Tamandua tetradactyla: one gene and its partners. The protein of the gene in region 1 interacts with the protein of each later gene in a pairwise test. Links are inferred from orthologs where the notes say so. Each region holds a gene or a part of one and is shown in the gene's direction. Other genes may lie near its edges.

What was found.
Region 2: the proteins of CCDC136 (region 1) and FAM161A interact in binary tests that used the Homo sapiens proteins (3 or more experiments, as listed by UniProt). The two-hybrid records come from large-scale screens. The link is inferred for Tamandua tetradactyla from reciprocal best matches to the Homo sapiens genes CCDC136 and FAM161A.
Region 3: the proteins of CCDC136 (region 1) and HMG20A interact in binary tests that used the Homo sapiens proteins (3 or more experiments, as listed by UniProt). The two-hybrid records come from large-scale screens. The link is inferred for Tamandua tetradactyla from reciprocal best matches to the Homo sapiens genes CCDC136 and HMG20A.
Region 4: the proteins of CCDC136 (region 1) and JMY interact in binary tests that used the Homo sapiens proteins (3 or more experiments, as listed by UniProt). The two-hybrid records come from large-scale screens. The link is inferred for Tamandua tetradactyla from reciprocal best matches to the Homo sapiens genes CCDC136 and JMY.

Annotation. Positions count from the first base shown.
Region 1 is NC_135327.1:170,216,083-170,224,538, forward strand, and holds the start of CCDC136 (coiled-coil domain-containing protein 136), read left to right. Parts: upstream 1-5,312; 5' UTR 5,313-5,327; coding exon 5,328-5,385; intron 5,386-6,141; coding exon 6,142-6,249; intron 6,250-7,838; coding exon 7,839-8,090; intron 8,091-8,173; coding exon 8,174-8,248; intron 8,249-8,456. UniProt on the Homo sapiens protein: May play a role in acrosome formation in spermatogenesis and in fertilization.
Region 2 is NC_135343.1:34,621,492-34,629,543, reverse strand, and holds the start of FAM161A (protein FAM161A), read left to right. Parts: upstream 1-4,974; 5' UTR 4,975-5,065; coding exon 5,066-5,254; intron 5,255-8,052. UniProt on the Homo sapiens protein: Involved in ciliogenesis.
Region 3 is NC_135338.1:65,791,986-65,799,573, forward strand, and holds the start of HMG20A (high mobility group protein 20A), read left to right. Parts: upstream 1-4,523; 5' UTR 4,524-5,510; exon of another isoform or gene 5,511-5,681; intron 5,682-7,588. UniProt on the Homo sapiens protein: Plays a role in neuronal differentiation as chromatin-associated protein. Acts as inhibitor of HMG20B. Overcomes the repressive effects of the neuronal silencer REST and induces the activation of neuronal-specific genes.
Region 4 is NC_135347.1:52,427,406-52,435,541, reverse strand, and holds the start of JMY (junction-mediating and -regulatory protein), read left to right. Parts: upstream 1-4,677; 5' UTR 4,678-4,986; coding exon 4,987-6,015; intron 6,016-8,136. UniProt on the Homo sapiens protein: Acts both as a nuclear p53/TP53-cofactor and a cytoplasmic regulator of actin dynamics depending on conditions. In nucleus, acts as a cofactor that increases p53/TP53 response via its interaction with p300/EP300.

The DNA of each region.
Region 1 (8,456 bases):
GCACTGGGGTTTTAATTTGTTAAAGCTGCCAGAATACAATATACCAGTAACCAAACAGCTTTTAAAAAGGGAATTTATTAAGTTGCAAGTTTACAGTTCTAAGGCTGTGAAAATGTCCAAATTAAGGCACCAACAAGAGGTTGCATTCACTCAAGAAAGGCTGATACCATATGGAACACTTCTGTCAACTGGGAAGGCATGTAGCTGGTGTCTGCTGGGGTCTTGGCTTCTGGACATCCTCTCTCACCTGGGAAGGCACACAGCAACATCTGCTAGCTTTCTCTCTTCATTTCATAAGGCATCTCCGGGGGTATTTTCCTTCTGCATCTCCAAAGATGTCTGGCTGTTTGGGCTCTGCTGGTACTAAAGCTTTTTCCAAAATGGTTCCCTCTTAAAGGACTTCAGTAAGCAACCCCACCTTGAATGGGTGGAGACACATGTCCATAGAAACCATCTAATTAAAAGTTACTACCCGCAATTGGGTGGGTTACATCTCCATGGAAGCAATCAAAAAGATTCCACCTAGCAATATTGAATGAAGATTTAAAAAACATGGCTTTTCTGGGGTACATGACAGTTTCAAACTAGCACAACAGGTATATGGACTGCATTTGGGTAGTGCTGGCTTAATAGACCAACACAACTCAACAGGTCACATCCACAACCTTTTCCTGTCTTGCCCATCTCACATGATAACAACTTCAATTTCTCAGGCAAAACTTGGATTCAGCTTGAGTTCTCTTTTACACATCCCATATCCAATCCATCAGGAAAGCCTATGGGCTCTGCTTTTATTTTTTAAAAAAAAGCTATATTTAAGGACTTTAACAAAAATAAAACAAGGAAAAATAGGGAACCCATACATTCAATGAAGGAGGTTAAAGTAAGATAGCAACCAGTTACAAGGTATGGGTCTTACTTAAATCATTCGAATCAGCCAGCTGGTTATTTGATATTATTTATGGTTAGGTTTTTTAAAAGAAATATAGATGAAATCTAGGATTTGCTTAAAAATATTTGAGGTGGACTTCGGATGGAGTTCTAGATGAAACAAGATTTCCTGTGAGTTTATAATTATTGAAGTTGGATGATGGATGTTCAATATTGTATTCCTACATTCATATAATTTTGAAATTTCCTATAATGTAGAACATAAAAAGAAAAAATAAAGGGAGGAAAATTAACTGTAATGTAAAACTAAGGCACTATGAAAAAAGGCAGGTTTTTGAAAAAAACTAATAAAATGTCAAGAAACGAAAATCAACCATTGAAACTAAAACTTGATGCATTTAATAGCAGATTAGATTCAATTAAAGAAAGAATTCAATTAAAGAAAATAGAGGTGATGAAATCATTCAAAATGTGGGTAAGTGATGGCATAGGAAATATGAAAGAATAGTTCAAAGAAAGAGGGAAAGAACGAGAAAGTATAATATATATCTAATAAAAGTTACTGAAAGAGACTGAGAGAATAGGGGAAATGTAATATTCCAATAGAAAACAGTTGAGAATTTTCCAAAATGGAAGAAAAACACAGGTCCTCAAGTTGAGAAAATAAACCAAGTCCCAATCACATAAACACATTGGGGTAAAAATGCAGAATGCTGAAAAGGAAGAGAAAATCTTAAAATCAACCAGAAAGAAAATATTCGCCAACCAAGAAAACAATTATATTGGCAGCCAACTTCTTATTAGCAATGAAAAATTATAGAAAAAATGAATATCTTCAAAAAGCCAAAAGAACTGTAAACATAGAGTTCTAAGCCCACTTAATTATCTTTTCCAGGATGTAAAATAAAGACACTTTAAGACAAAAGACTGAAAATGCTTACCGCTCAAAGACTTTTACTTAAATGCTACCTTAGAATAGCCTCCATAAGAAAGAAACTGAACCAAGAAGAAAGGAATGAGGTGCGAGAAGCAATGATGAACAAAGAAATGTATAAATATGTTAGTAAATCCAAATAATCACTAACCCCAGAGATGATAATAATAATAATCACCACCACCACAACATCAACAATTAATGGGGATTAGAAACAAGGTAAAATACTAAATAGAAATGTGGCAGATCATAGGGAAAGAGCAGAATTAACTCTACTAAGGTCTTTATGTTACTCAGGCAGATGATGATAATAATGATTGATTCACCTTAGATTTAAGATTGTTAAAAATATATATTAAAAGGTAATCACTAAAAAAACAAACAAACAAACAAATGAAAAAAGTAATCCTACAACAGTAGAAATAGAATGTGTAAATTTCCAAATCAGTAGAGGTTAGGGACAAAAAAAAGAAAGTAAGCCTCCTTTGGTGGAGTATAAATTGGTCCAACTACTTTATAGAGTAAGTTGGCAATAAAAGCAAAGTTTAAGATGTACATAATCTATGACTTGGAACTTCCACTTCTAGGTATCTATTCTAGAGAAATACTCACATATATCCAAGGAGGCATCCACAATACTGTCCATTGCAGCATTATTTATAATATGGAATACTGGAGGTAGCCTAAATGTCCAAGAGCAGAAGAATAAAGAAGTAAATTATGGTATATTAAAAAATGAAATAGTATGCAGCAGTTGAAATTCATGAATTGGAAGAATATGTATAAAAACACGGACAAATCTAAAATAAATATTGAGGGAAGAGAAGGAGGTTTGAGGAAGAATGTGTACAGTATAACACCATTTAGAGTTTTTAATCATACAAATCAATACTATGTATTGTTTGTGGATACACACATATACAGTAAAGCTGTAAAAACACATACAGAAAGGCTGCCTCTGAATGAAAAGATATTAACACTTGTTGGATTTCACTCATGAAATTCACTCATGAATTTCACCCTATTCACAGGGATATTAGTTATATTATTCTTTTTACTGTAATTTTCTGCATGTTTTGAATGTTTACACCTTTTCTTTTTTTTAATGAAAGGATCTAGGCATTTAGAAATAAGGGGAAAGGGGATAAATGGCTCTATCAGTCCTCAGGAAGGCTGATCTGCTGGGATGGGATTAGGAAGGAAGTGAGTCCTGAATCCAGGGATTACAAGGATTAATTTGGATCATACAACCTCCACCCCCAGCCCAAGATGATCATCTGGCTGACATTCCAACACTCCTGGGCTCTTCTGAGATGCACCCCTGGACCACAGTCCATCTCCCCCTCCCCACACCCATACCTGCTAAACCCTTTTCTTCTGCCTCCTAAACCCTCTCCCACCTTCAACCCAGTACTGGTCTGGCCAGGTTTTGCCCAAGTTTAGGTCCTGAGAATAGACTGGTTTTGGTTTCCTCTGAGTATTCCCAAATTAAGGGGAACCAGAAGCCAGAGAGAGATTAGTCCTGATCCTCAGAATCAGCAGCCCTCCCTGAGGAGAGATTAGAGTGTCACAGTCAGTAGTCAAGGCCAACTGCTAACTTGACCCTGCGGGCTGAGCTGGAACAAGGAGTGTGCAGGGAAGAATGCGCAGTCATCCGGCTTCCAGCAGGAGTCTCCATCATTCCCAGGGCTTCTATGCATCCCACTACCACTGCCAGCTCCTTTCCACCACCCCTGACAAAAGCCCAGCTCCTCAAATCTGGACAGGCCTGATGTCTGCACCTGGCCCTCTAGAAGGGGTGCAGGTGGGCTTTCTCAGCAGTCTTTTCCCAAGACTGGGTCACCTTACCCACAAACTCTTCAGGAAAACACCCTGGATCTCTCTGTTCCTCATCTCTGAGAACCACAATTGGGGGTGGGGAGAAGGGTGAAAGAGAGATGAACAGACTTACAGCATTTCTAGACAACATTTAACCCTGTAAGTGTGAAGTCTTATGCTCCATGATAAGACAGGGGCATTAATGGTAAATTTGGGAGATTTACCTTAATTAGTTTTTTCCTTTTTATCAGGCGTTTTGTCAGGTGCTGGAGATACAAAGAAGACTTAAGATACTTCCCTACCTTCAAGACATTGGGCAGATAGAAATGTAAAAACCAGATTCTGACAACCCAGAATGACTGGTGCTGCAACAGAGGAAAGGAGGACCGGGTATTACCGGAGAACACAGAAGGCACCTCCCTGGGGTAGCCCGGGGCCTCAGGGAAGGCTGCCTAGAGGTGACTCCAAACTGAGGGGTGGAAAGTAAACGAAGGAAAGGCTTACTTTCTGTGAAACAGAATGTTCAGATACGGAGGACTTGGGAACCTGGGAACCTGTAGGAGTGAACACAGACAATATACGTCCAGGGCCAGTGTGAGGGGCTAAGCAAGGGAAGAGACTGGTGGTCTTCCCAGCTTAGGAATTTCCCAACAATTTTCTGAACGTGCTGGGAAGTGTCCTCACTTCTTTTGGGGTTGAGACCTGAAGAGAAGATGTAAACATTCCTTAAATCAATGATTGAATAATTGACATATGCCCACTGGCTTCCAAACCTTTCTATGAGGGTGAAAATCAGCACTGCTCACTCTGAGCACGCTGCCGGGCGGGGTAGGAGACGTGACTCGAGGCCCATGGGAGTGGCAGCAGGGAGAGGAGGGCCAAGTGGGGTCACTAAGGAGCCCCTACTAAAAAGGCCCCTGGCTCAGGCTTGCTGAGAGCTCGGGGAAGGCAAAGTGAATCCGGCCCCGCTGTTGGCATATCCCGGCCTCAATTTCCCTCCTCCCGACAGCGGGCTGCGCTGGGGCGCGAGAGGCCAGGGCGCTGGGCTGGGGCCAGCAAGTCGCGGCCTGCAGCGCGGGAACCCGCGCCCCGGACCCGGGTCGGCGCTGACGGCGGGGACGTGGAGGGCGCGGGGCCTCCTTGGTGAGGGAGGGTGGGGAGTGTGCGCGAGTGTCTGCGCGCTTGGAGGAAACAGGCCGGGAGGATTCATCCATCCTTGCCTTTTCCCTCCACCACCACTGAACGGGACCGGGCTCCGACACAGGGCGCACAGGGACCCCCGCGCGCAATCGACTCGGGGCAGGGCCCACCGCGAGAAGCAGCGGAGCTTGTGGCTCCCACTCGTGGCTCCCACTCGTGGCAGCCCGTAAGCTCCGGCTGGCTTGCGTCGGGGGTCCGGGCCCGGCGGCTCCGGGTTCTCCCTGAGCGCGGGAACCGGGGCGTGTCGGAGGGGCTCGCCCGCCTTGCCGCGCCCGCTCGCTTCGCCCAGTCACGGAGCCGGCCGGGGGGGCGGGCTTCCGGGCGGAGCCGGCCGGGCTCGGCGTCAGGTGGTCCAGCCAGGGCCCGCCCCCTCGGCCCGCCCTCCCTCCTCCCGGCGCTCCGGGCTCCGGGTCCCCGGCCTCTCCGGCGGCGGTTGCGGCTGCGGCTTCTTCTCCGGGCGGCGGCGGCTGCTGAGGGAGCGGCCATGGAGGCGGGCGCCGGGGCCGGCGCGGGAGCCGCGGGCTGGAGCTGCCCGGGCCCAGGTCAGAGCCGCCCCCCTCCCTGCTCACCACCGCCACTCCTTCCTCGTCTCCATCTCTCCTCCCTCTAGACCACCAGGTCCTCCCTTCCTCCTTCCTCTGCTCCTCACCTTTCCTCCCTAAGTCTTCCTCCCTCCATCCTGGTCCTCCCCCCGGGCCCCGGTCTCCATTTTCCACACACTGGCCGCATCCTCCCTGGCAGTCCATCCCCTGAGTCCTCTCCATTTGGCCTCTCCAGCCCCGATAATACTCACAGCCCCTGGGTGCCCAGACCCTGAACACCCAATGGCCCCGGAGGCTCCGGAGTGCGGGGCGAAGGAGGGAGGGACGAGGTCCCCTGAGAGAATGGGAGCGGCCCCAGCTCCCTCCCCTAGCCCTCTCCCCCATCACCTCCATCCCCTTCCTTTCGCCACATCAGCCTTTTAGACTCTTCTATCTTGCCTACCTCCTCCCTATCCCTTCCGGGCTAAATATATACACACCCTCTTTCTGACTGTGCAAGACAGAGGAGCTTAAAGGAGGAGGTGCGGATGAGGTTGGGCAGTACAGAGCTGGGGGTTCTGGCAGCCCGAGTGTGAGCGCGCCCCAGGTAGGGCGGTCGAGTTGCAGAGCTGGACAAGAGTGAGTCAGGGGCCTCCACTGGGATTAAAAATCCCAGGGCTCCAAAGGGTTAGATGGCATGTCCCTCTATCTTTCTCCCTTCACCCCAGCCCCCAGCAAGCCCTCACATTCCACAATCCCTCCTCTCACTGTGCACAGGACCAACAGTAACTACTTTAGGCTCCTATGAGGGGTCCGAGGGTTGTGAGAGGAAGAGAGGCCAACGTTGGGGGTCCCTGGAACGCCGAGGAATGCAAGCTATGGAGGGTGAGTTTTCCCGAAAGGCTTCCACCCCATCCCCCAACACACGCCCAATTTCCCTTCCCTTTCACTTCCTCTCTGACCCCTAGAGCTCCCAAGTGGGACACAGCCCTTCCTCAGTTCACCTCAGCCCTCTCCCCAGGGCTCAGGCTTTAAAGGGAAATCCAGGGTGCCTCCCTCTGGGGCTTCTGTCACCTCGTTAACCAGGCTGTGTGTCCCAGGGGAGCTGGCAGACAAAGAAAGAGGCCTTGCTTGGTCAGAGCTCTGACGCAGCCTTTCAGCAGGGGGTTATTATCACTGCTTACCCACCCAGTGATAAGTGGTGACTCGCCTTATTCTCGCCTGCCATACCAGAGACTTGGGTTTGAGTCCTGGTGCCTGCCCATGCGGAAAAAAAAAAAAAAATTAGGGGGTGGGCATCTGAGCTGTCTTTCTGGTGCCACCACCATCAACTTCTGATGGAAGCTTTGTGGCGTTGGTTCTCTAGGACAGATTACTGCCTGAAAGAGAGGGCCTAGGAAGGGAGCAGATGAGAGGGCCAACATCCCACCACACGCATGTGATTTGTCAGGTGCGGCCCACACTGTCCCCTGGAAAGACACTGGTCTGTTTTTCAGGACTTCCTGTGAAGTGTCCCCAGGCCCCTCTGCATACCCTGCTGTCCCCAACAGGAACAGATGATGCAAGGGGACCCAGGTGAACCTCAGGATGCTGATTGGAGAAAATAAGACCAGAGATTCAGGGATTTAAAACAAAGCAAACGATCACTATCTAGACAAGAGTTTGTTATTTAGAGTAACTGCATTGCAGTAAGGAGGGGATGCTTACTAGCCAGAGACTGAGGCTCTATCACCCCAAGTTCTTAATGCACTAAAATGATGAGCTTTGTTTTACACACAAGGACAATCTAAGACTTCCCCTGAGAACTGCCTTATGGTCAGCAAGGGAGGAGGTGGGGCGTCATAACACTCAGGTAGAGGAGAGGAGACCTCATGGCATCCAGCAGGGAAAAGAAGGCTGAGTCAGCCTTGTCGAAAACTTCAAAAAAGCTACTTAATAACATAACGTTTGATAGGGCCCCAAAGTTTGTCCAGTAAAACACTATGAATCATTTTATTTGGATGTTTTTTCTTACTGAAATGCTTTCTTATTATAGAAAGACTAATTTTTCACAAGCCACCCAGATAATTTTTTAACTGTCTACAAATTCTGAAGCATAACTCTTGCCTCATTCGACCTAAAGACATGCACAGTGTCTGAATTCTTTCTTGGCCACTTGTCCCACTATCCAAAGATCAGGATTAGAAGAACCAAGTATCTTGTGCAAGCTGCACGTGACTGAGCCAGCAGCAGGCTAATCCACTTGCCCAAAGGCAGTGGTAGGATGGTGCAGGTGCAAAGGGCCTGGGAAGCGCTACCTCCAAACTTGACACTCACACCCAATGACTCATCATGAGCTTGGGTCCTGTCCCTCTGTGGGGGACACCAGATGGCACTATTATACTATCTCTGCCTTGGGGTAGTGAGTTTGAGGGCTTAAAGGACTGTGGGAAAGCAGTTGGCTCTTACTCTGATGAGATGGACATCTCTCCCAGGGGAGGTATTACTCCCAGCTCTCTATGAAGAGGAGGAGGAGGAAGAGGAGGAAGAAGAGGTGGAAGAAGAGGAAGAACAAGAGCAGAAAGGTGGCAGTGTGGGTTCCCTGTCGATTGGCAAGCACCGGGGCCTAAGCCTCACGGAGACGGAGCTGGAGGAGCTGAGGGCTCAGGTACTCCAGCTGGTGGCAGAGCTGGAGGAGACCCGGGAACTGGCCGGGCAGCATGAGGATGACTCCTTGGAGCTGCAGGGTGAGTGCTTGTGTCGGGAACTGAGGGCCTGGGCTCAAAGGTGCTGTGCTCCTGTCTGACTCTGTTCCTTCCTCTCTCTGCAGGTCTCCTGGAGGATGAGCGGCTGGCCAGTGCCCAGCAGGCAGAGGTGTTCACCAAGCAGATCCAGCAGCTCCAAGGTAACTTTCAGGTCTAGGACTGGAGGGCCGGTGGCCACCTATGTTACCATTCAAGTACTTTTCCCCTGACAGTTTGAAGCATGGCAGAAAAAAATAACCTAATTCAGTGTTTTTACTTAAATTTTCTCTACTATTCTCACCCTTCTCTCTTCTCTTTGTCTCTCCATTTTCTCCTTTACCTAATTTCCTTTCTTCTTTGCATGTCTAC
Region 2 (8,052 bases), on another chromosome or scaffold:
ATTACATCTGCAGTCGGCTAGGAGGCGTGTCTGCTGCAATGAGTGACGTTTGACTTAATTGGCTGGTGCTTAAATGAGAGAGCACAACGTAGAACAGCCTAAGCAGCTCAGCATTCCTCATCTCAGCACTCACAGCTCAGCCCAGGCCTTCAGAGATGAAGAAAGAAGTCACCCCGGGGAAAGTTGTTGGAACCCAGGGGCCTGGAGAGAAGACCAGCAGAGACCATCTTGTGCCTTCCACATAAGAAAGAACCTCAGTGGAAAGTTAGCTGCCTTTTCCTCTGAAGAACCAACAAAATAAATCCCCTTTTATTAAAAGCCAATCCGTCTCTGGTGTGTTGCATTCCGGCAGCTAGCAAACTAGAACACGTATCTTAGCAGTTTTATATTGAAACACTTAATTTCCATTATCAGAGAGAAAATTTTCACCATCGAAATCCACCTGTTTCCTTTTTAAGCTCTTATTTCCTGTCTGACTTCTTGATTTTCTAATACATTTTCATTTTTACTTCTGTCTGGATGGACATTTTCAAAACTTGTTCCAATTGCTGTTGTTTCAACAGATGGATTTACACCAGAAAGGCTATTTTCTATGTAGAGAACACATAAAGAGCTTGATGCAGAATTATTACTATTCCATTTATCCTTGCTTATCATGCAGTCATGTTTATAAGTACAGGAAAATTGGGATCTTATTAAGGTTTGCTTCACTTATTTTTTTATCTCTTGCATTGACTTTTGGATGTGTTCTCCTAGGGGGTTTACTGTTGAGTTTTTTTACCTGTGTGGGAGATCTGAAAAGTGTAAGAATAGAAGTTCCACTATTATTAATTGTATTTTCATCATCATATAAAAGTTCTGCTTTGTTTTGGATAGGAGCATTGGCTGCTTCTTTATCCATAAGAACTAGTAAAATTTTTATAGTATCTCTACCGCAGTATGCAGCGTCACAGTGTTCTAGTTTGCAGCGTCATCGTGTTCCAGTTTGCTAGCTGCCAGAATGCAATATACCAGAAATGGAATGGCTTCTAAAAAGGAGAATTTAATAAGCTTCAAGTTTACAGTTCTAAGGCTGAGAAAATGTCCCAATTAAAGTGAGTCTATAGAAATGTCCAATCTAAGGCATTCAGGGAAAGATACCTTGGTTCAAGGAGGCCGATGAAGTTCAGGGTTTCTCTCTCAAGTAAGAAGGCACATGGTGAACACAGGGCTTCTCTCTCAGCTGGAAGGGCACATGGCAAGCACAGCGTCACCTGCTAGTTTTCTTTCCTGGCTTCCTGTTTCATGAAGCTCCCAGGAGGTGTTTTCCTTCTTCATTTCCAAAGCGCTGGCTGGTGGACTCTCTGCTTCATGGTGCTGCAGCAATCTCTGCTCTGTCCGAATCTCTCGCATTCTCCAAAATGTTTCCTCTTTTACAGGATTCCAGTAAACTAATCAAGACCCACCCGAATGGGTGGAGACACATCTCCCCCAATCCAGTTTAACAACCACTCTTGATTGAGTCACATCTCCAGGGAGATGATCTAATTACAGTTTCAAATATACAGTATTGAATAGGGATTAGAAGAAATGGCTGCCTTTACAAAATGGGATTAGAATTAAAACATGGCTTTTCTAGGGTACATACAGCCTTTCAAACTGGCGTACACAGGATTTATGGCATATAATTTTGGCTGTGCAGGACTGATGTTAGTAGTGCTAACAGTTACTATTTCTTGATGAGAATAGATGATATTTTCAATCCTCAAACCCAAATTCTGAGCAACTTCTTCTACTGCTTTATAGAAAGGATCCCTGCCGTTCTGGCTTTTAATCAGGTATATCTTTATCAATGAGAGTATATGACCTCCTGCAATGATGACTTTAAGTTAATTTTAAAACCACTCCAATAAGTAGGTATTATTATCCCTAAATTACAGATGACAGAACTGAGTCTCAAGGAGGTTAAATAGCATGTCCAAGAACATACAGTGAGAAAAGTTGGCAGGACACATCATATTGCATTCTATCATATGAAGGGTTATTATATGGAAGAAGAAATTAAGCTAGCTAGTAGCGATCTAAAGCAAACCAGAAACTGGAACAAATATCATCAAATGACAAGTTTTTGAAAAATCCTGAAATCACCATTTCTTTATACCCAGACTAAACCTGAAAGAATCTGGGTTGAAGCCCCTAGTCTAGATGACCAAGCCAGGACGAATGTAAGAAATATACAGGAGGAAGAAGTTTGGTACATCACAAGGAAGCAAATAGAGGTGTCCAACAATAGGACAGGGTTTTTTGAAGTCATGATCTCCCCATCCCCTGAGATATCCCAGGAAAGACAGCACAGTCCAAGAGAGAAGGTGGTGTGGAAAGGATGGACTAGGGGTCAGACTGCCTGGGTGCCAGTCACAGCTCTGCAACTTCCCACTTTGGGTAAGCTCTTTAACTCTCCGTGACACAATCTCTTCCTCTGTAAAAGAATAACCATAGCTTAGTTACTCTCATAGGATTGTTATAGGGAAGGAATGAGTTTATATAAGCAAAACAATTAGAATACTAGCTGGCAGAATTACCACTAGCAATTATCATTATCATTATTAGATGATCTTTAAGGTCATCAAGGATTCTGTGATCCTATACTGGGTTTTTAGTAAATTCTTTTTAAGATAAGGTAATAATAAAGTAAAAAAGGCAGAAAGCTTTGTACTTGGTAGTATGTGCTTACTAACAAATTTTGAGCCAGTACAACATACAAATAATTAGGAGATATTATAGTATGTTAGAAATTTTACTGAATATTAATTTATTCAATACTAGGATTTAATTTGTAAATACATTTTCATAGAGTTGTAAAATCTTATTCATTAAGATTTTAAATATTCCCCCCTCAGATTTCTTCTACTTATTCAGAGAGAACTTGCTAGTAAAGGGCAAATGTCAGATATGCTCTATTATTCATTCATTAAAATTTTCTGACCACTCTCTTTATTGTACACTGATCATGTATCCTGTACTTGTATATACTGTATTGATGATAAAGTGTGTGGTGGTTTAAAGCTATATGCGCCCCAACAAAACATGTTCTTAAATCTAATCCATTCCTGTGGGTGTAAACCCATGTAAGTAGGACCCTTTGAAGGGGTTACTTCAGTTAAGATGTGTCCCACCTCATAAGAGAATGAAATTCAGACAAAGAGAATGAAAGCCTCAAAGGCAAGAAGCTGAAATCAACAAAACCCAGAAGACAAAGGAGAGACTGGCAGACACTGCCACATGCCAGGCCATGTGGCAAAGGGCCATAGATATATGTTTTCAATTCTCTTACATATATGCCTACGAGTGAGTCATATAGTGATTCTATGTTTAACTTTTTGAGAAACTACTTTCCAGCTATTTTCTTAAGTGACTATACCATTTCACACATATCTAAAACATTTGACATACGGTGTTTTTGTTGTTACTCAATTCTATATATTTTCTAATCTCCATTATGAATTCTTTCATAACCTATGGATTATTTTTAGAAGTGTTTTTAAGTTTCTGTACAGAAAAGGTCTTTCTTATTATCATTCTTTTATTAATGTCTAACTTAATTGTATTAAGTGATCAGAGCTTGTTGATTGTATGACGTCAATCCTTTGAAACCTACTGAGTTAGTTTTATGACTTAATACCATGGGTACTTTCATAAATGTTCCGTGTATGCTTAAAGGAATGGATATTCTCGAACTGTGTTAAATATACATGTATGCTAGTTATGTATCATCTGATAGATATACATTATCTGATTGTTAATTGCACTGTTCAAATTCTCCTTATTCTTTTCACTGGATGATTAATATTTTTTTGGCTTGCCATACAAAGTACGGAAAGCGACTTGGGTGTTCCTTATGCTTAGAACTCAGCCAGCATTTGTTCCAGTGTGCCAAGCAAATGCTCAGCCAAAAATCTGAAGAAGGTGAGGGCATGGGGGGTTTTGCAGGTGCTCACACTCCCAATCAGCAAACAAGGAACGCTTGGTAAGAAGCTATCAGGCCATACTCCACGTGTGTATTAAGCAAAAAGATTCAAAGTGATGCAGCAAAGCATCTCTAGGTTGGCAGAGCACAGAGGGAGGGATTCCTATGAAGCCTGGCATCACTTAGTGCCAGGAAAATAAAAAAATAAAAAGGGCTGAGACCTTATTAATGGATTCTAGATGTTCTGCTGCACAATGGAGAAAAATTCTGTAACTTTATGGCGGTGAGGTCTGGTAATGGGCCAGCGAGGGAAGAGGATAGAGTGGGGAGGGGGATTGCGGCAGCCTCGGCTTCAGGAAGTAGGAAGGGCTGGGTAGCACGGGGCTGAGACTGCGCCTCGCTGACTTTTTTGAGGCTCGGAGTCTCTTATAACCACTTGGTTCCGGGGGAAGGTACCACATAAAGTCCTCGGACCCGGAGTGGGAGGACTTCATAGGGATGAGGTGGCGAAGGCTTGTGTCTGCCGTCCCCATGGAATTCACGCCTTCCAACTCAGCTGACAAAGCAAAAAAACGCCAGATTCACGCTACCTGGGCTGTCACTCACTGGTGGGTAGGGCAGGCTCTTCCTCACTCAGGCTTTTATCAGTCAGATCAAAGAAGAGTGGGACACGTTAGGAAGAGGGATGTAAAGCTGCCATCGCCACACAATATCTCCTCCTTTCCTCTCCGCTTCTGTCTCTACTAACGTATTATCTCAATGAATAAAACGTGTATTTTCTACATAAAACGCGTTATTTAATTAATACAATGTGAGAAATCTGCGTTTAGGCGTTGAAATGCGAAGGAGAAGAAAAAGTTCCCTTTTCCTCCAGTCTATTCCAAACCAGCAGTCGAACTCAGCTCTGACTTCCACTAATCAGGAGACACCCGACCCTCGTCTTTGGTAAAGTGAGAGGAATTTGTATGGCTTTTGGTCCCTCGAGGTGCCCGTAGCGTCCTTGGTTACCGCGCCCCTAGTAACCGCCCGCCCCAAGTAAGGAGCCGGCGGGTCGCCCGAGGCCGCTTCAGCTTCGCTGCCCGGGGCCAGCGCGGGCGCTCAGGCCTCGGCGGCGCGGTGATGGACACCTCGCACCGAGCAGCGAAGCTAGCGGCCTCTGCTCTCCAAACCCGGGTAGATTCCGCCCTGTACGAAAACGAGGACTCCTTGGAGGCCTTGGCGGCAGCGGCGGCAGCGGCAGAGGCGGCGGCCTTGAAGGAGTTGGAGGAGGAAGAGGAGGAGAAAACAGTGTTGCCGGCGCCGGCGTCGGTAACGTAGGGTCGGGACCCGGGATGCTGCCGGCCGGGCGTAAGCTGGGGGCGGGTGGGATCCCCACCCGACTGCGGAACAGGGTGGGAAACGCGGTGTCCTGCCCAGATCCTTCCCACCCTTTCTTTGTTCCCTCTCCCCCCACCCCACCCCCCGCCCCTCACGGAAGATACTCAAAACAGAGGCGTTGGAAAGTCTTTATAGTCACCAAAGAGAAGATTGTTGTAAAAATGTATTGAAGAGCATTTACCTCATTCCATTTCTATGAAGTTCAAAGTACAGAACTTTACTCCTTACGCTCAGAATGTCTTGGTATCGGATATCGCACCTCCAACCCCCCCCCCTCCTTTTTTAACTTGTAAAACTGATCTATTCCAATAGTTGATAACCCATAAAAACTCAAGTTAGTTAGCTGTGCTTTTCAGGTATGCCTTATCATCGCCTTAAGGTCCTAGTTATTAGTGGATCTAACACAATAAGTTAGAGGCAGATGTTTAAAACATCGAGTTTATATATAAAATAGAGAAATTAATTACTGAGGTTCTACGTGTTTCTTGATCACCTCTTCAGGGTGGAGTGAGAGCCTTTTCACTGATCTATTTTCATTGCCGAATGGGTGTGGACACCTGGCCACCAGGTGGAGGACAGAGTCTGCCATCTGTTCTGTTTGCTTAAAAGATGGAAACCTTGAGTTTAAACTTAGCAACCTGCCGGAATAATGCTCCCTATTCTCGGTTAAGTTTTCTTAATACCATATGTCCAAAATTTCTCAGATACAAAGCATGGAATGGGGTTAATAGAAATCACTGGATATTTTGGAATTCTAATCTCTCTACTCTGTGTTACAGCTGTTCATGAGAAAATTGTAGCAGCACCTTTTATGGTCAGTATTTCAGCAACAGACACAAACTACTCATGATTATCCAGAGTAAGGCAGATTGAGACCTAGAACATGAATCAAGAGTAAGATTCCTAGGGTCAGTTTTGTTCATGATAAAATTTGCTCTCAACACAAGTTGCGGTGGGCAACAAAAGAGGCAGACCTATGGAGGGGAAAGGTTTGAATGGAAGAAAAAGACTTGGGGTCTTGGTTTAGGATCCAGGCTCTGCCATCTGCTAGATGACATTAGCACTTAACTTCCTTAAGCCTGTTTCCTTATCTGTAGGAGAATAATAATTCTATCTTTCTATCTCACTGTCTGTTATGAGAACCAAATAAGAGAATGTGTGTCTTATTTAAATACCGGTTTATATAAATTGATAATAACAGCAACTGCCAGCGGGACTGTTGTTTGAGCAACTCACCCAAAGATTAAATTCTGTCTGGCTTCCTGTGGTAGAGGAGTCAGTCATTCCTATACTTGTAGCTGTACTTCCCACATGTCCTGTTAAACTGCAATTTGTATTTGAAATGGTTGTTACCTTAGAATAAATGAGTTTACTCAATAGGCTAGTTTTGGAAAAGCAGGATCCTGAAAACAGAAATGATGGAAGTCTTATGAATTTACCTGGCTATGAGGAGCCAGTAGCTAATCTGGATAAGCAGCCCCAATGGACCTGATGAGCCAGAGGACGCTGGGGAAAGGAGAATAGAACTAAAAAGACAGGAATAAGAGGTGGAGCACAGGAGCCAGGCTTTGTCTTCATCACGGCTTGGCTTGAGTCTCTAACTTGATTTTCAAAGATAAATTTGCCCAACTTTGTCATCTATAAAATGTAGTAAACTCAGACAAAGAATCCACCCATAAGATTGATATAAGAACTAACTGCCACAATAGGCCCTTTCAGTCAGTTGGTTTTGCCAATGTCAGACCATCCCCACGTGCCCTTGCCATGTTGGACACTACCTCATTCCCTGAGGGAGGAGGGTTGGGACAGTGTCAGTTTTTAGGCCTTATTAGGTGGGTGATGATGGCATGAATAAAGCAATATTTTATAGTTTGCATTAAAAATTCCACTGCATTTCCTAATTGGGTGACATTCTGTTTTCCAAGAAATATTGAGCATTAATTAAGAGCTATTCAATGACTGTGTGGTGGTGAGTGAAGCAGACATAGTCCACATCCTTACAGAGCTTCCAGTCTAGTGTGGAAGTTAACAGTAACAACAATAAAAATTTCAATCAAACGATTATAAGACAAGAAATTTTGGGAAAGAAATGAATAGGGTACTATGATTAAGAAAGGAATAGATGGGACCTACTTAAATGAGTTGGTAACGTTAAAGTGATGTTGATGAATAAGAAAGAGCAGCCATTTGAAGAGTGGGGGTGGGAAGAACATCCCAGGCAGAGGGAACAGCATATGGCAAGGCCCTAACATGGGAAGAGAAAGAGCTTTGTGTGATTAAGGATCTGAAAGAAAGTCAGCAGGTCTGGAAAAGAGGGGGAGAGGTACATGGGGCCCTGGTCCCACAGAGCCTTATATACTAAGGGAAGAAATTTAGATTTATTCTATGAACAGTGGGAGGTTGTTGAAGATTTTTAAGAGATATGACATATTCCTATTTATGGTTTTAAAAAATTCACTCTGATGGCTTTGTGGAGAATGATTGGAGGACTGATGAAGTGGAAGTAAGAAACCTGTTAGGAGGCTGTTGCAGTAATTCAAGTGTGTTAGGTGGTTGCTTGAACTTTGGGTCCAGGGGGATAGTGAGAAGTGGACAAATTTCTCTAGAATGGACAGGACTTATAGTTGGAGTGGATGTAAGGACCAAAGCAGAAGAAAGATGAAGACTGCTCATTCCCATGTTTCTGGTTTCAACCACTGCCTAGAAAGTAATGCCATTTACTGAACTGG
Region 3 (7,588 bases), on another chromosome or scaffold:
CACATACACACACACACACACAAAGGATGGGGCACGTCAAAAAAACACAAAAGCCTACCTAAAAGTGCTTCCAACGGCCAAAACTGAAAAAATTTGGGCAACAAAATAAATAAGATAGCACTGAAATATATCCCTAAGAATAAAATAAATAAGTTCAAACTGATATAAATGATTGATTGGATGAAAAATACATAATGAGACAAACCTTTCTTACAGAAGAATTCCAATTAATAAATGTAGAAAGAATGAGGTCAATTTCTCTATGCCCTGGACCTATTCCACCCTAGCTCCTCAAAATCCTTGGCTGCATATACACACACACCCCTCAATTTCTCTCCATTGGTTCTCTTTTTAAATATAATATAACTTTTTTTATTAGAGAAGTTGTAAGTTCACAGAAAGATTATGAAGAAAATCGAATTCCCATACACACCCTCTCCATAAGTTCTTTCCAGTCCCTACATAAAAGCATGCCCAAGACACTCTTAATTTAAAAAAAAAAAAAAAGCAAACATCAAAATCCTCTGCATCAGAACTCTATTTACATTCTTTCCTTCAGAATCCTTTGTTGAAAACACTGTATCCTTCTCAATTAGCTACACTTTCAGCTGTCCTTCACTCTTCTCCTCAATGTACTACAATGTAGCTAACTACTCTATATGAAGTCACAAATGACACCTTAATCACCAAGTCTTCAAAACTTTCTTCAGTCCTTATCTTACTTAGCTTTCTCATGGCATGAGACTGTGTTCCGTAGTCCTGGTCCGTGAAGTATTCTCCTCCTTCTATTTCCCTGACAAATCTCTTGAGTTGACGTTTTTTCATCTTTGGTCTGTCTGGCACAGTTGGCTGGCTTCTTTCTCTCTAGTAGCCCACAACACAAATGTGGGCATTGTCCTAGATCTTCAGTCTTGTGCAACTCCATAATATGATCACTTACCTTGTCCTGTTGATAACACTTCCCAAATCTCTCTCTCATATATCTACCTGCTCCTCTATTTCCTTCATCATTTCACACCAGGAATGTTTTCCTAACTGGTCTTCTTCTCAGTTTTGCTAATCCAGCATTTACTTCACTGTCAAAATGATAGGTCTAGAACATAAATCTGATTCTATCATAATACAGCTTAAAAATTTTTTCCCACTAAATCCTCACAGCCTTCAGGATAAAGGTAAAGCTCCTTAGCTTGGTTCACAAGGTATTCAATGATTTGGCTTCTGAATACTTTGTCCTCCCCTAGTGATCCACCAGTGGATGCGCTTTCATTCCTCTCTGTGTCCTTTGCTGTTTTAAACCTGTGCTCTCTACAAGTGCCTACTGAGTACCTGCAATGAACTAAGTGTAGGTGCTAGATTTTGAAGACTTAATATGAAAAAATAGAATGACAACTATCTCAATAATGCTTTTTATATTGATTACATGAAGTGATAATATTTTGGATATATTAAATTAAATAAAATACATTATTAAAATTGATTTCATTTATTTCTTATACTTTTTAATGTGGGGTTACTAGAAATTTTTAAATTACATATGTGGTTCTCATTTGCGACTCAAATTATATTTCTATGGGACAGTACCACCCCAAAGTACCCTTTCTCTTCTTTCTGAACCTAGTTAACTTCTACCTATTATTCAAGATTAATTCAGGTAACCCACTAAAATGCATTCCAGGACATTCCCCCCACTGCAAGCCTGAGTCAGTGACCCCTCCTGTATGCTTTCATCCACAGGAACCTGTGTACACACCCCTGTTGCATACCACACTGTATTAAAATTACTGGTTCACCAGCAAGTAATTATTGGTCGTTCCCCCCACCCACCCCCACCCTCCGCAAACTGTAAGCTCCTTACAGAAAGGGATATCATTCTACATATAGTCAGACCATCAGACCTGGCACTTAAAAGGCACTCAAGGGAGAGCTATGGTGGCTCAGTTATGAGCCTGCCATGCTGGAGACCCAGCAGCAAGGCACTGATTCCTGGTGCTTGCCCATGCAAAAATTTTTTTTTTTAATTTTAATTTAAATTTTAAAAAGGTACTCAAAACATTTGTCTAACAAATATGAGTTACATATTCTTGGTCTGAAAGTTACTAGAATTTTAGTTCTTCAAGGAAAGCAAATCAGCAATGAATGAGCTTAGACTTGGGGAAAGGGGGAAGGACTATGAATTACAATGAAGAGATCAACAATGAGACAATAAAAACTCATGACAGAGTGGGCCACAGTGACTCAGCAGGCAGAGTTCTTGCCTGCCATGTGGGAGATCCCGGTTCGGTTTCCCGTGCCTGCCCATGCAAAAAAATAAAATAAAAGCTCACGACACACACCTGCCTCTTACAGTGAAAATAGGAATTTGCAGCAGTGATAAGGAGACTTGAACTCAATTTAGCATGCTGGGGCCACAGTTTTGTTCCTAAATTACTTAACCCATCCAACAAAAGAGTATGATTTGGCAGGTCTCAACACAAACAGCTAGAGTCCAGCACCTGTTCCACTTAAACAGCACATCATTACAGTTAAAAACAACAAATCTCTCTCACGAAACAAATGCTAATCTCAAGATGCTTCACCATGGAGCAATTTAGAAGAGTTATTATATGAAATGTGCCAAAGCATGAATTTATGGCTGATGTTTATTTGGCAAATATGGTTGGCACCAAGAGATGTTAAAAAACATGTATGCAAATAAAAGTTTTTAAGTTCTCAGACTTAAATATTTACATTACCATAAATGTACAAAGATAAACATTTATGTGAGTACACATTTAACGAATCCAAGAAACATGTTTTTCAATATGATTGTCAGGAAACAGTGGCATTATTCCTTTATGGGCCTTAGGGTATGCTCTTAAAAATGAATTCTGATAGAATGTTAATGGGGTATGAACATTATCAGGAAAATTTCTCAGTACTATCATTGGATAAAACGAATAGCCATAATATCATAATAGTTCAAAGCAATCTTATCTTTTCCTTTCACCAAAACATTTCTCTTCCCACTCTGGAATTGAGTTGAACATAAACGTCAATCCCTAAATATAGGGGAAGGGGAAGGACCATTATATCTACACATCAAAAAGCTTTAAAGAAAATAATTTAACTTCTTTCCCCCATAAGATAGTCACATTAGAGTCTCCTAAATAAAGAAATGATAAAATATTTTCCCCTCTTCCTTGAGAGGCTTGTTTTTTCACATAGCTTGTGACTTGGTCATAGCCAAAACTCATTAGCAATGGTATGAATTTTGCTTCCATTGTTAACTGTTAAACTCTGGGCTGAGGCTATTACTCCCATTTTTAAAGCTAAGAAATACCTACCATTATAGTTTACAAAACGAGTCACCAAAGAGAAGTGCCCAGAGACTTCAGAAAATAATTAGTGTAGTCAGTGAATTGAGATATCTAGAAATGCTCTGAGATTACAGGAGAAGCCATCATGAAGTGAGTATCCAAGATTGCTCACGGAAAGTTTTACCCCTGTGGATAATTCACGTTTTTCATTTCCACACTGCAGAGAGCAATATGAGTTCTCCTACTACACACATTACTGTATCACTTTAATTATCAGAAAAAAAAAAAAACTGTGGCTGAACATTCCATCTGTAAGTAGGCCCCAGAACAAAATCCTCAAGTCAATCTCAATTCAGGTGAAAAGCTGTTCACATACATCACCGGATGACCTAATAACAGTCTTTTATGTAAGTCTCCAAGTACTTAATTCAAGGTATAATCTCACCATATTTAATAGAGGCAGGGGAAAAAAACTTATTAGGTTTTCTATAGCAAGGCCAATTAAGATGAAACCATAGTTTTCCTCTAACTCATCACTACCCCCTCAACGCCAGCCTTCCAATAACTTCATTCCACAGCTCCCAAATTCCCAAACTTGGATTTAAAAAAAAAAAAAAGCAGATTGCAAGAAAGTAACATTTAAAGGGGGGAGGGGTACTTTTTCCTGTTGCTGTCAGCAGTCTTTAACACAGTCACAGGATGAAAAACGAAATCAAGCTCTCAGACAGATGATGCATGCGAAGGGGGGATTTTGGGCAGCAAGACCTCCTCGAAGGAAGCAAAAAAAAGTTGCAAGGACGATGAGTCAAAGGGCAAAAGAGAAAGAAATTGGCTAACCGAACCACTCAAAACCCCCAAACACCAAGCGAACCCGCAATCAGGGGGCTCACCAGCAGCAGAGGGAAGAGAGCAGGGTTTCTTCTCGACGCTACTGGCGTGGTTGCGCCGGATCCTCCCCGGCTTGGGAGCGGGAGGACGGTGTAGACTTAGCAGGAGGGAGAGGAGCCCTTCCAGCCCCGGCCTCCCGCGTCCAGCTTCTCCGGGCTTCACTTTCCACAGCAGCCACCCAGCCGCGCCCGGGGGCGTCCCTCACCGTCAGGTCCCAACTTTCCCTCCTCTGGGGGGCGCCGCGCGATCTGGGCGGCCGCCGAAGACGGGGGAGGAGGCGGCGGGGGGCGCGAGGGGGTGCGCGGCGCCGGCGGGGCGCGAGGCCAGCCGGAGCCGGAGAGACCGAGCGGGGCAGGACGCACTGGCCGCCTAAGCCCCCGCGGCGGCGCCAACCAGACCCCGCGCCGCCCGGCCCGGATTCCCGCGGGTCAGAGCCCTCACCCCGAAGCGACCCCAGCCCCATGACCCGAAGCGTGAGAAAGGAGCGGAGAGGACGCGGACAGCCCTCCCGTTACCTGAAGGGCGCACAACGCCGCCGCGGGGACCACCATCGCAGGCGTCCCGTTTCCTTCCTGGTGACTGCAGCCGCCACCGCTGCCGAACAACTGGCACTGACTAACAACAACTAGCAAACTACTCGCCGCCGCTGAGTCCACCGCGCGCTCCCGGCCGCTCGCCACCCGCCCAACCCACCAGCCTGCCCGCCTCCTCCCAGACCCGCGCGCCACCTTTCTGCGCGCGCACCCGTGCGCCGCTCTCCTCTAGCTCTTCCCGGGAGCGAGCACGCGCGCGCGCACGGGCCCTCAGCCTCTCTCGCCTCTGTGTAATGGGAGGAGTCAACGCAAGTCCCCTCCTCTCCGCGTTCCCATCCAAGGAGGATAAGACCTAAAAGCGATTGATTGGCGGGGGGGCGTGGCCATAGTCAGAGGGCGGGGCGACAGGGCCGACAGCCCGCAAGAAGGAATATTTGGGTTCAATTAAATACCAGAGGGTAAAGGGGAACGACGTATGGACCATTTGACTATGTCAGCCTGCTGTTGACTTCAGAATATGTGTTTTCAAGGACTGCTGTGCATAGTAGTAACCAATTTAACATCGCTACTTCCTGCGGGTTTTAGAGAGAAAATAAAAGAACTACATCTCCCAGAAACCTTCGCGAATTGCCGCACCTTGCGTAGTCACGTACTACTTTGCCGCGTTTGAGCAAAATAATCCCTTAATTTTTCTGCAGGAATCGGAAATATTTCACTTTTCTCCTCACCGGAACAATTTTAAATGTTACTGCGATAAGAGAAGCTACCTATGGGGAGGTGGTTAAGAGATTAGGTAAGGAGAAAGAAAGGACATAAAAATAAAGTGCTGCGGAGGAATTTTTGTCAAGCTGTGAGACAACGACGTGCGAAGAGTGAAGGCGATTGAGAGGGGCTGAGGGAATTCTCCTCTGTACAAGGGACTTTCTTTAGGTCCCAGGCCCCTGCTTGTCTCTTTCGTCAGCAGGTCAGTAAGCAAGGCGAGTTTGGGGGGTGACCACAGTCGAAGTGTCCTTTAGCCCATGAAAATCATCCATCTTTTGCCGTTGTTGTTACTGGTTAGCTACGGATTGAGGCTGATTGAATGGGGGAGCCTCACTTCCGTTGGGGGAGGGGTGATAGGCTGTCCTGGGGTGGGGGAGGACGTAATTCACTTCCTGTGGGGGGTAGGCCAATGGTTTTGGGGTGTCCAACCCACTTCCAGTGCGGACGAGGGTTTGAGAAGGTGGTTGGTGCTGTTTATATAGATGGAATCTTCTAGCTTTGGGACTGTTTGTTTTTTTTTTTTTTTGTAAATTAGGTTATTCCATCAAGTTGTGCTAATCCCCTGCCTCCAACCAGAATTTATGTGAGTTTTATTACCAAATGCAAGATGGAAAATTTCCTCCACAACAGAAATTTCCTAATGCTTTTTTACTTAAAAGAATTCAAAATCGCTTTTTAAAATTCTCCATCTCTGCAAGACGAGATACTTTCTTGTGTGACTCATGGATTGCCTACCCCGCTCCACTAAAGTCCAGCCTTGGTAGTGTTCTCTGCCTTGATATGCGCTCTGTAGCTTCTCTTTTTAAGGAGGTCATTTATGAGAGGACAGAATATTTTACTTAAGTTATGAGGCATCTTCACGTTATCAGAGTGAAAGTGTCTTGCTGTAGTTCTCAGATATTTGGTGTCACCTTAACTAACATAAAAAATTTGGTATATTTAAATTCTTATACCTGTTGACTCCAGACTACAGGTTTTGCCCTGTGCTGGAGAACAACTCCCTCAGGCTTAAAAATTCTTAAATGTGAAAGTTGTATTTTAGTACATTGTCCCCCCTTGTAATATAATTAAATTGAGCACCGATTTTTTTTTTTAAAGTGGTATCTGTTCTTTGCAACTTTAAGGTTTATGGTGCCTGAGATTCAACCCACATTTTAATTAGGGGGGAAAATGGATTCAAAAAAGAATAAAAGATGACTAAAAAAGAACTTTCCTTTTTTCCTGTATTCTCTATTTTTTATAAGAAACTGTGTAGAGAGTGGTAATAAACACGCAATAGTTTTGATTCCCTGGCTTCTATTGTGAAGTATCACAATATTTGCCTTTGCTTGTGTGTGCGCGCGTGTGTGTGCGCGCGCCTGCGAGACATGTGCTAAAGGACTCTTTAGAGCTTACTTTGTGAAATCTCAACAGTTTTACTAATTTTAGAATATCAAGTGAACCTAGGACTGTAATGTCTTTCAAGAATATTTTAAAACAGTAAGTCCTGTACATGTTTTCCTGTGGGATTGTTACTTAATCTAGCCTTAGAATTTTTAATTTTTAAACTTACTTTTGAAAAGCTATTTGGGAAATGTGTTTTTAACCAAATATTATAATAAAGGGGGAAAATACATGAATAAAATATTTATTGAGAAACAATATTGCCTTTTGGAAGCAAAGGAGTATATTAAATTGGTATTTATGCTGTTCCATGGAAGAAGAAAGAAGTATATAAAGCACAAATCTTAAAAGATGTTTTATGATAAGTGGCAGTTATTCACTGGTTCCATGAAAGAAGAAATATTAGAAAAGCTTGTGAAAAGTAGAGAGGGGACAGTCATGGAATCAGTCTGTTCTTTCAAACCTAACTCTGTGGAGAGACTTGCTATCTTCCAAAGCCTCCTTTGGAGGTAGTACCCTTTGTTGCAGTTTTCTGTGTGCCTTTTAATAGAAAAACAGTATTGAAATTAGAAAATAAAGATTTTGTATGTGGACTCTTGTGACTTTGAGTGAATGAATTTGAGATTTTCAGTCCGTTACTTGCCTTCTTAAAGGGAGCATAATTTTTTTTTTAGAGCATTTAGATTAGGTAACAATTTTCCAAAAGTTGTCATTGGATACACTGTT
Region 4 (8,136 bases), on another chromosome or scaffold:
CCATCATAAAATGGAAATGGTACATTTAGGACTGAACACGAGCAGAAAAAGATGGCACAAGCAAGTTGCATAAGCAGTGGGTCCAAATCTCCAAAAGTATCCAGCATTATGCCCCATCATGACACTTATCATAGCATCCCAACATCATGTAGCAGTGTTCCTGGGACCCTATACAACTGAAGAAAGAGGAAAAAGCCCTAGCTTAGTTTATGGATGGGCTGTTTTGGTATGTGGGTGCAAATCAAAATGCTGGTTGCATTATAGTTTTATTCAAGGATGACTGTGAAGACAGCAATGAAGAAAAATCTTCCCAATGGGTAGACCTTCAAGAGGTGCAACTGTTAATCCAAGATTTTTGAAAGGGGAAGTCACTTGAAGTTGAAATATATATGAACTCATGGACCGTGGTGAATGGTTTGGAACCTGGAAGGAGAAAGATTAGAAGATCAGAGACAAGGAGATCTTGAGTAGAGACATGTAAGTGACTACATGAGAGTGGGAACAAAGTTGTGAAGATTTTTGTATCAGACATTAATGGTCACCAGAAACTACCCACGTGGAATGGGCATCAACAACCAAGAGGACAAAGCATTTAGTGGATGTTCATGGGCATGGGAGGCAAACAGATGATAGGGCCATAGGGGTAGAGATGGAGCTTTCCATAGACCAAACACATGGACTCCCACTTACCTAGGCTGATCTAGCAACTTCACCTTTGAACGTTCAATCTGCCAGCAAAGGAGACAATCACTGAGCACCCAATATGGCACTATTCCTTGAGGAGTCATTTGGTAGTACATTGGACCCTTTTCATCTGGAAGGGCCAGTGTTATTGCTGTTTTTTTTTTTTTTTTCCTCTCATGGGAATAGACGATCTAGATATGAAGTGTACCTTTCCTGCCTTCAAGGTCTTAGCCAGCACCACTATCAAGCCACTGATATAATGCCTGTTCTACAGACATGAAACACAACATTGCATCCAACCAGGGAAGCCATTTTACAGATGCACAGGTCATAACAAATACTATGGATCTAGAAGCTGCTGACCTAAATCAATGCTGGAATGGCATGCTGAAGGTACAACTGAAACATCAGCTCAGCGGCAATACCTGGATGGGGTTCCATCTCCAGGATGTGGTATATGCATTGAATCACTGACCTTTATATAGCACTGTGTGCTCTATAGGACGAATACATGGTTCTGGCTTCCAGGGTGGAAGTGGGAATGTTCTCATTTACCATTACTTTCAATTACTTACCGGAAAGGGAAGAGAGGTGGGGGGAGAATGAGGATGAGGGGGCAGGGATATCCACAGCTCTGGATTCTGCAGGGTTAGAGGTCCTGGTCCCAAAAATGGATGCATTCTTGCCCAGGACATAGCAAAGGTCCCATTGAACTCCAAGTTACAGCTGCCACTGGGACACTTTGGGCTCTTGCAGGGCAAGAGGAGGAGTCACCCTCTCGTCAAAGGTAACTGACATTGATCAGCAGGAGGAGGTAGGGTTGCTGTTACATGATAGGAACAGAGAAGTATCCTTGTAGAACCTGGGTGCCTCTTGGTACACTCTTGCCCAATTGTAACAAATGTAGTGGTGCAATGATGGAAGCTACACACAGGTAAAGTTACCAAAGGGTCAGACCTTTCCTGGATGAGGGTTTGGGATATATTACCAGGTAAGCAACTGACGCCTGCAGAGGGTGAAGGGACTTTAGAATGGATAGTGGGGAAGGGAGATGAAGATTATCAGTTTGGGACATGAGATCATCTGCAATAATGGAGACTATAGGTGATCCCACTAACCTCATTCTTTTAAGTTTCCTCTCAGGAAAAGAGGCCGTTTAGATCCCTGAAGGAGCTACTCCCCAAATATGTAATGGGGAAGTAGATCCATATAGCATACAAGGTAAACGGTGGCAGATGCGATGTGTCACAGAGATCCTCCTTCAAGATGGCACCTACTGTTCAGCTGTAAGGAGTGGGGTTAGCCTCAGGCTGTTGGTGTCTTTGGAGTTAACTTCAGCTTTGTAGGTTATGCTTAAGGCCTAACAATTTCTGCCCAATGGGGAACATCTCTACAGGGTATTCTTTGTTCTGGAGCTCCCTGTTAGATTAGTCTTCTGAATCCTGCTCTCTGCCTCCTTTTCTTTTACAGGTGTGGTCCTCCATAAACCTTTCCATTGCTAGCTTCTTTTTAGTGTCTGTTTCTGGAAGAATCTAATTGGCACAGCAGTGGATTTAGAATTAGGCCCTTGAACTCTAGTTGTTCCCTACTCCCAACCTTGGGATGTGTGACCTAACTAATCAGAGCTGATTTTTGCTTATATATAAAATTAAAGATACTTACTCCTTTCATACCTTTATGACATGATTATTTTGAGGATAAAATGAATATGTACCTGAAAATGCTGTGCAATTTAAAAATTGCTATGTAAAGCTATTATAATTGTAATAAAAGGCCTAAAGAGTTAAAATATTTCCCTGATTATCTAACAATCTTCAATAGTTTTAAAAAATTTAGAGATAATAGTTTTCAGGACCTTTACAAGGCTGCCACCGTGTATGTGGTTTTTCTGTAGCTTTACTTATTCTCAGAGAGTAATTTATATACTGAGAGATCTTATCTGACAATCTGATAAAGACTTAAATAAAGGATAGTAGAGTAGACAGTAAACTGCCAGGGGAATTTTATTTTGCTTTGTTTTTCATTTCTAGGATGACAATTACTAAAATAGAGTAAATAAGAAACACTGAAGCATTTCTGTTTTGACAGTGGCCAGAGTATTGGGGGAAAATATTTAACACCTGTGGAATCACAAACCCATTTTCTCTAACCTTATTGTTATACATAATTTTATATCTGTGGATAAATATTACAATTTTAACATACATATAAGTAAAAGTATCTCCCACAAACATATTGTCAGCATTCATTCTGAGATTTAAAACCTATCAATAATGCATTGCTAGAAGAGAGCTAGTGATCATTGTCAGTAACTTTTTGCTAGAAAAACTTCTAGTAGCAAATTTTTTATAGAAAAGGACAGATTCTATGTCTATTGTTTATTAATTCAGATTTGCAAAAGTTTTTCTCTTTTTCAAAAGTTTTTTTTATTAGCATTTGAGAGTGAACACATTTATTAGCATTTGAGAGTGAACACAAGTCCACAGTTGCAAGCCTTGAAAGTCTGTTGTTCCACATACAGAACTGCAAAAACTTTAAAAAACCAAAGTTCTTTTTGCTTAGCTTGTCCAAAGAAGTGACTCTCATTATTTATTTATTCTTGTCAAAGCAGATCTATAGATCTAAAGCTCTAGCTGAGCCGCAGGGCTAAAACTTTTGGCTGTTTATTTGGATTTCAGGATAACACTGAATCACACATAGCTAAAAGTGCAAAGTTAGTCCAAAGAAACGAGTATATTTTGGAAACATGGATAAAAGTAAAAGAACAAATAATTCCTAGGGTACTTTGCTGTGGGTGCAGAAAGCCTGTAATACGAATTGCACATAATAGGACAGAGATAGGTAATAATATAAACCGGGGCGGGCCACGGTGGCTCAGCAGGCAAGAATGCTCACCTGCCATGCCAGAAGACCCGGGATCGATTCCTGGTGCCTGCCCATGTAAAAAAAAAAAAAAAAGAATTAAAAAAATAATGTAAACTGGACTATAAAATCCACTAAGCAATATTAAGAATGTTTCTTCATAGTTTAGTATGAATAGCAGGAGTTCTTCAGATTTATATGGACTTTTTTTTTTCATTCAGGAACTCTGATAATTGAATAAAACTTTAGAAGAGCTCAAGTCCAGTGACCTCAAAAGGAGGTACACAATAATAAAACGGGAAGAAACACCGATGGCTTGAAAAGTAAACTTTGCTCCTTTTAGAACATGACAGAATTTTCATTTTATTTTCTTTTGGAGTACTACTGGGTTATCTTCAGACATCATCCTTTCATATCTTAAATAGTTTCTCAAGGGTTTTAGGGAAGAATCCAACAGTCTGGGAAGCCTAATAAAATTTAGCATATAGTTGCGTTAATGCTATTGGGCGTTTTTCCGACTCCCGCAGGTAAAACGTAGGCAAATTTACATTTTAGGATCCCAATGAATGCCTGAAGTTCGAAAAGTCTCAGCTCCCCTGCCTCTGTTCCTCTTCCCCCGGGCTTCGGACGCCACCTGGGCCGCAGGGCACACCTGCCACTCTCACAGCGCCCCCCAGGTGACTGCCAGCACGCCGCCCACACGGGAGCCCAGGCGAAGGCTGAACTGAACCACGCCGGGAGCGCGGTCGCCGGCGGAAGGAGGCGGGGGACGCCGGGAGGCGGCGCCGGCGCGGCGGGATGCGCGCGACGCCGCCGCCGCGTCACCAGCGTGCGGCACGTGCCCGTGTTTACGTCCCTCGTGGAGCCGCCGACGTCAGCAACCGAATGGCAACATTGTGGCGATGCTGAAGCGCACGGTTTAGGAGAGTCTCCTATCCGTCAGGCAGGCTCCGGGTGGCCGGGGAAAGGAGGAGGAGGAGGCAGGGGCGGGGAGATCGGCCCAGACAAGCCGCGGAGGCAAACCCACGGCCGTCGCCGCCCACGGACCGGAGCGCGAGACCCGCGCCTCACCTCCGGCGCGCCGCAGACGCAGCACCGCGGCCTCGCCAGGGGCTCCCGGCGCAGCCGCACGGGGGTCGGCCCGGGCGGGCGTGAGGCGCCGCTGCTGCGCGGGGCTGGTAAACAGATCCGCCGCACGTGACCATGTGAACTACCTGCTCCGGGGACGCGTTGTTGTCTTTCCCGAGCCGCGCCACAAAGAAGGGCGGCGGGTCCGAGTGCGGAGGGACTGACGAGGGAGCGGGAAGAGCCGGCCGGCGCGCTAAGATGGCTGAAGGCGCCCGGTGAGGGCAAAAGGGGGGCTCGGCGCAGCCAGCCGGTGTGTCCTCGGGCGGGCAGTGCCGGCGGCGCCTCCCCCGCAGCCCCGCGCCCTGAGCCACCATGTCGTTCGCGCTTGAGGAGACGCTCGAGTCGGACTGGGTGGCGGTGCGGCCCCATGTGTTCGACGAGCGCGAGAAGCACAAATTCGTCTTCATTGTGGCCTGGAACGAGATTGAGGGCAAGTTTGCCATAACCTGCCACAACCGGACGGCCCAGAGGCAGAGGAGCGGCTCCCGGGAGCAGGCGGGGGCGCGAGGGGGCGCCGAATCCGGAGGACCAGCGTCCGATGGGACCCGCGGGCCGGGCAGCCCGGCGGGCAAGGGTCGGCCCGAGGCCTCCGCCTCTACAGCTCTGGGTAGGAGCCCGGGGTCCCGGCGGAGCCCGGCCTGCGTGGAGGGCGGCTCTTCGCGGAGCGCGCGCAGTCTTCGCGGGGACCCGCTGCTCCGGAGTCCGGCTGGCAAAGGAGTGGAGAGTCATCTCAGGAGCCCAGTGCGGGCCAAGTCCAGCCCAGTTCGGAGAGAATCCGAAGCTAGAGATGCGGCAGCGTCTGCCGCTGCGATAGCCCCTCCGGCGCCCGGGGACGCTCCGGTGTCGTCAGTGCGGGTGGTGAGCACCGCTGGGGCGGTCTCCGAGGAGATAGAGGTGCTGGAAATGGTGAGGGAGGACGAGGCAGTCCTGATTTCGGACGCGGGCCAGCCGTCGCTCGCCGCCGAACTGGAGTCCCAGGCCGAGGAGTGCAGCTGGGCCGGTCTCTTCTCCTTCCAGGATCTGCGCGCCGTCCACCAGCAGCTGTGCTCTGTGAACTCGCAGCTGGAGCCGTGCCTCCCGGTGTTCCCCGAGGAACCTTCGGGCATGTGGACCGTGCTGTTCGGGGGCGCCCCTGAGATGACCGAGCAGGAGATCGACACCCTTTGTTACCAGCTCCAGGTCTATCTGGGCCACGGCCTGGACACCTGCGGCTGGAAGATCCTCTCCCAGGTCCTCTTCACCGAGACCGACGACCCTGAGGAGTATTATGAAAGCCTCAGTGAGCTGCGGCAGAAGGGTTATGAAGAAGTGCTTCAGCGGGCCAGAAAACGTATCCAGGAGGTAAGAACCTAGTCTGGGTTCCAGTCATCGTTTTTGGTTACTTATTGCCAAAGGCTGGAGTCTTGTTCTGGCGTGTGCGCATTTGGGATACTTGTTTCTCTGGACAGGGAAGGTAAGAGGGGTCCTGCCCATCCAACCCTCTTTCATGCCTTACAGTGGTAGGAAAATCATGTCTTTCTTAATTGGCTTTAGATTTCCTTTCCCTGTTTATCACATAGGTTCTATATAGTAAATGATTTTTGTTTACTACTCAGTACTGGTAATAAAATTGAAGCCACTCCAAAAAAAGGTATTAGTAAATGAGCATTTCTCTAAAGCTCTTTCCAGCAGTAACTGCCCAAATATCACCCCTTCTTTTCCTGGTATCATGTCTATGTATGCAAAATGATTTGTCGGATGTAGCAAAGTTGACCTTCTATTTTTAATTTTCATATGCAGTGTAGTGTAGCAATTTAGGCAAATTTTAAATCCATTTTCCACCAAATGAGTGGCCTGACCAAATTAAAAAACACTAACTGGCAGTTGAATGCAAATAGATATTTAAAGGTTTTATACACACACTGTATTTCAAGTCATTGCAGATGACTCAGGTTTTACTCCTGTTTGTTTAGAGAGAAAAAAAAGGTTCTGTGTAGAATGCCTATTATACTTTTTATACGTGGTAAGAGTAGAAAGAGGTGCAAAAGCTTTCTCAAACTATGTAGTCTTTAAAATAACAAGAAATAGTAAAATGTTTGAATGAGTATATATCTGTTGGTTCGCAGTGTGTAAGATAGGTATGATTTGAGGTTGGACTATCTTACCAGATTCTACTCAAGGAACTTTACTGAAAAACTATTTTCTATTTTAAAATATACTTAATTTCTCCGAATGGATATTAACTTTCTCAGAGCAATTTATTATTTTTAGTATAAGTTCAAATCGAAGTTGATGTTGGGGTGGCTATATGTCTCTTTTCATGGTGTACATATCCCTGAGGTTGTGATGTCATATCTGTTAGCTTTACCCATATACGTATGAATCTTACTATTATGCTGGGCCAGGAGCTGAATGGTTTTGTAATAGAATATTACATGTTTTTTCTTTACCACACTTGAGTATTTAGGAAATAATTCCTGCTCACTTATCCCACAGTGCTGTATTAAAACTTCCTGAATCCAGATTTTCACTTGCTGTTAGTTAACTTCATACTAAAGTCACTCATCACAGTGTGATCCTAGACTTCCAGGGCTCTATTTCTATTTCCCTTGTTATCATCTCACTTCTGGAGTCTGTGTTCTACTTCACATTTGTGTTGGATGGAAGTGAGACAGAAATCTTAATCCCATATATTCTCTTAAGTGTTTTGTTACTGTTGAACTATTTCTTTTAAACAGCAAGTTGAATTAACAAAGTTAGTGTTTTTTTTCTATGACTTGACATGTTATCTATCATACTGGTTTTTTTTGTACCTTCAAAATTCCTGTTCATATTTTTAAAATTCTTTTAATAAGAGTCTTTAAGTAAGGAGGTTACCGTTTTTAAAAATAATATCTTTTCAGAATAAAGGTTATTATTGACCGTATGTTTTATTTTTTGTAATGGGAAAAATCTAAACTATTTTGTGTTTTGGGAAATTTATTTTCAAAATAAGTGAAATTTATTATAAATCCATCAAACATAAATATGTATTTGTGGGTTTTTTTGTGGTGTTTTTTCAGTTGACTTGAACAGCATTTAAAAAATAGCTGTTTTTAAACAAATAAATTCAATTCTAATGTCAACCTTGAGTTCTACTGGAAGATAGAAATTCTTAGGCTCAGTAGAGGAAAAGGGTAATGTGATTGATTAGTGGTATTTGTCATGGGCTTGGTATTGGTAATGTGGTAATGCAGAGCTCACAAGCAATGTTTTTATTTCCCCAGCTGCTTAATTCTTTGCTGATTTATACTTTGCAATAACATTTTAAAAAGTTAGAAGTTCTAGCATCTTTTTATTAATTCCATCGGGTTTAGTTTTTTTGCCATGTTCAGTGTTGTCTTTTTTTTTTTTTGTATACTGTATGGTGCTTTTCTATGTCAGTATCCCATTATTGCAGCACCATATGCTGAATTTTTGTTTGCTTGTTTTTTCAAAAGTACG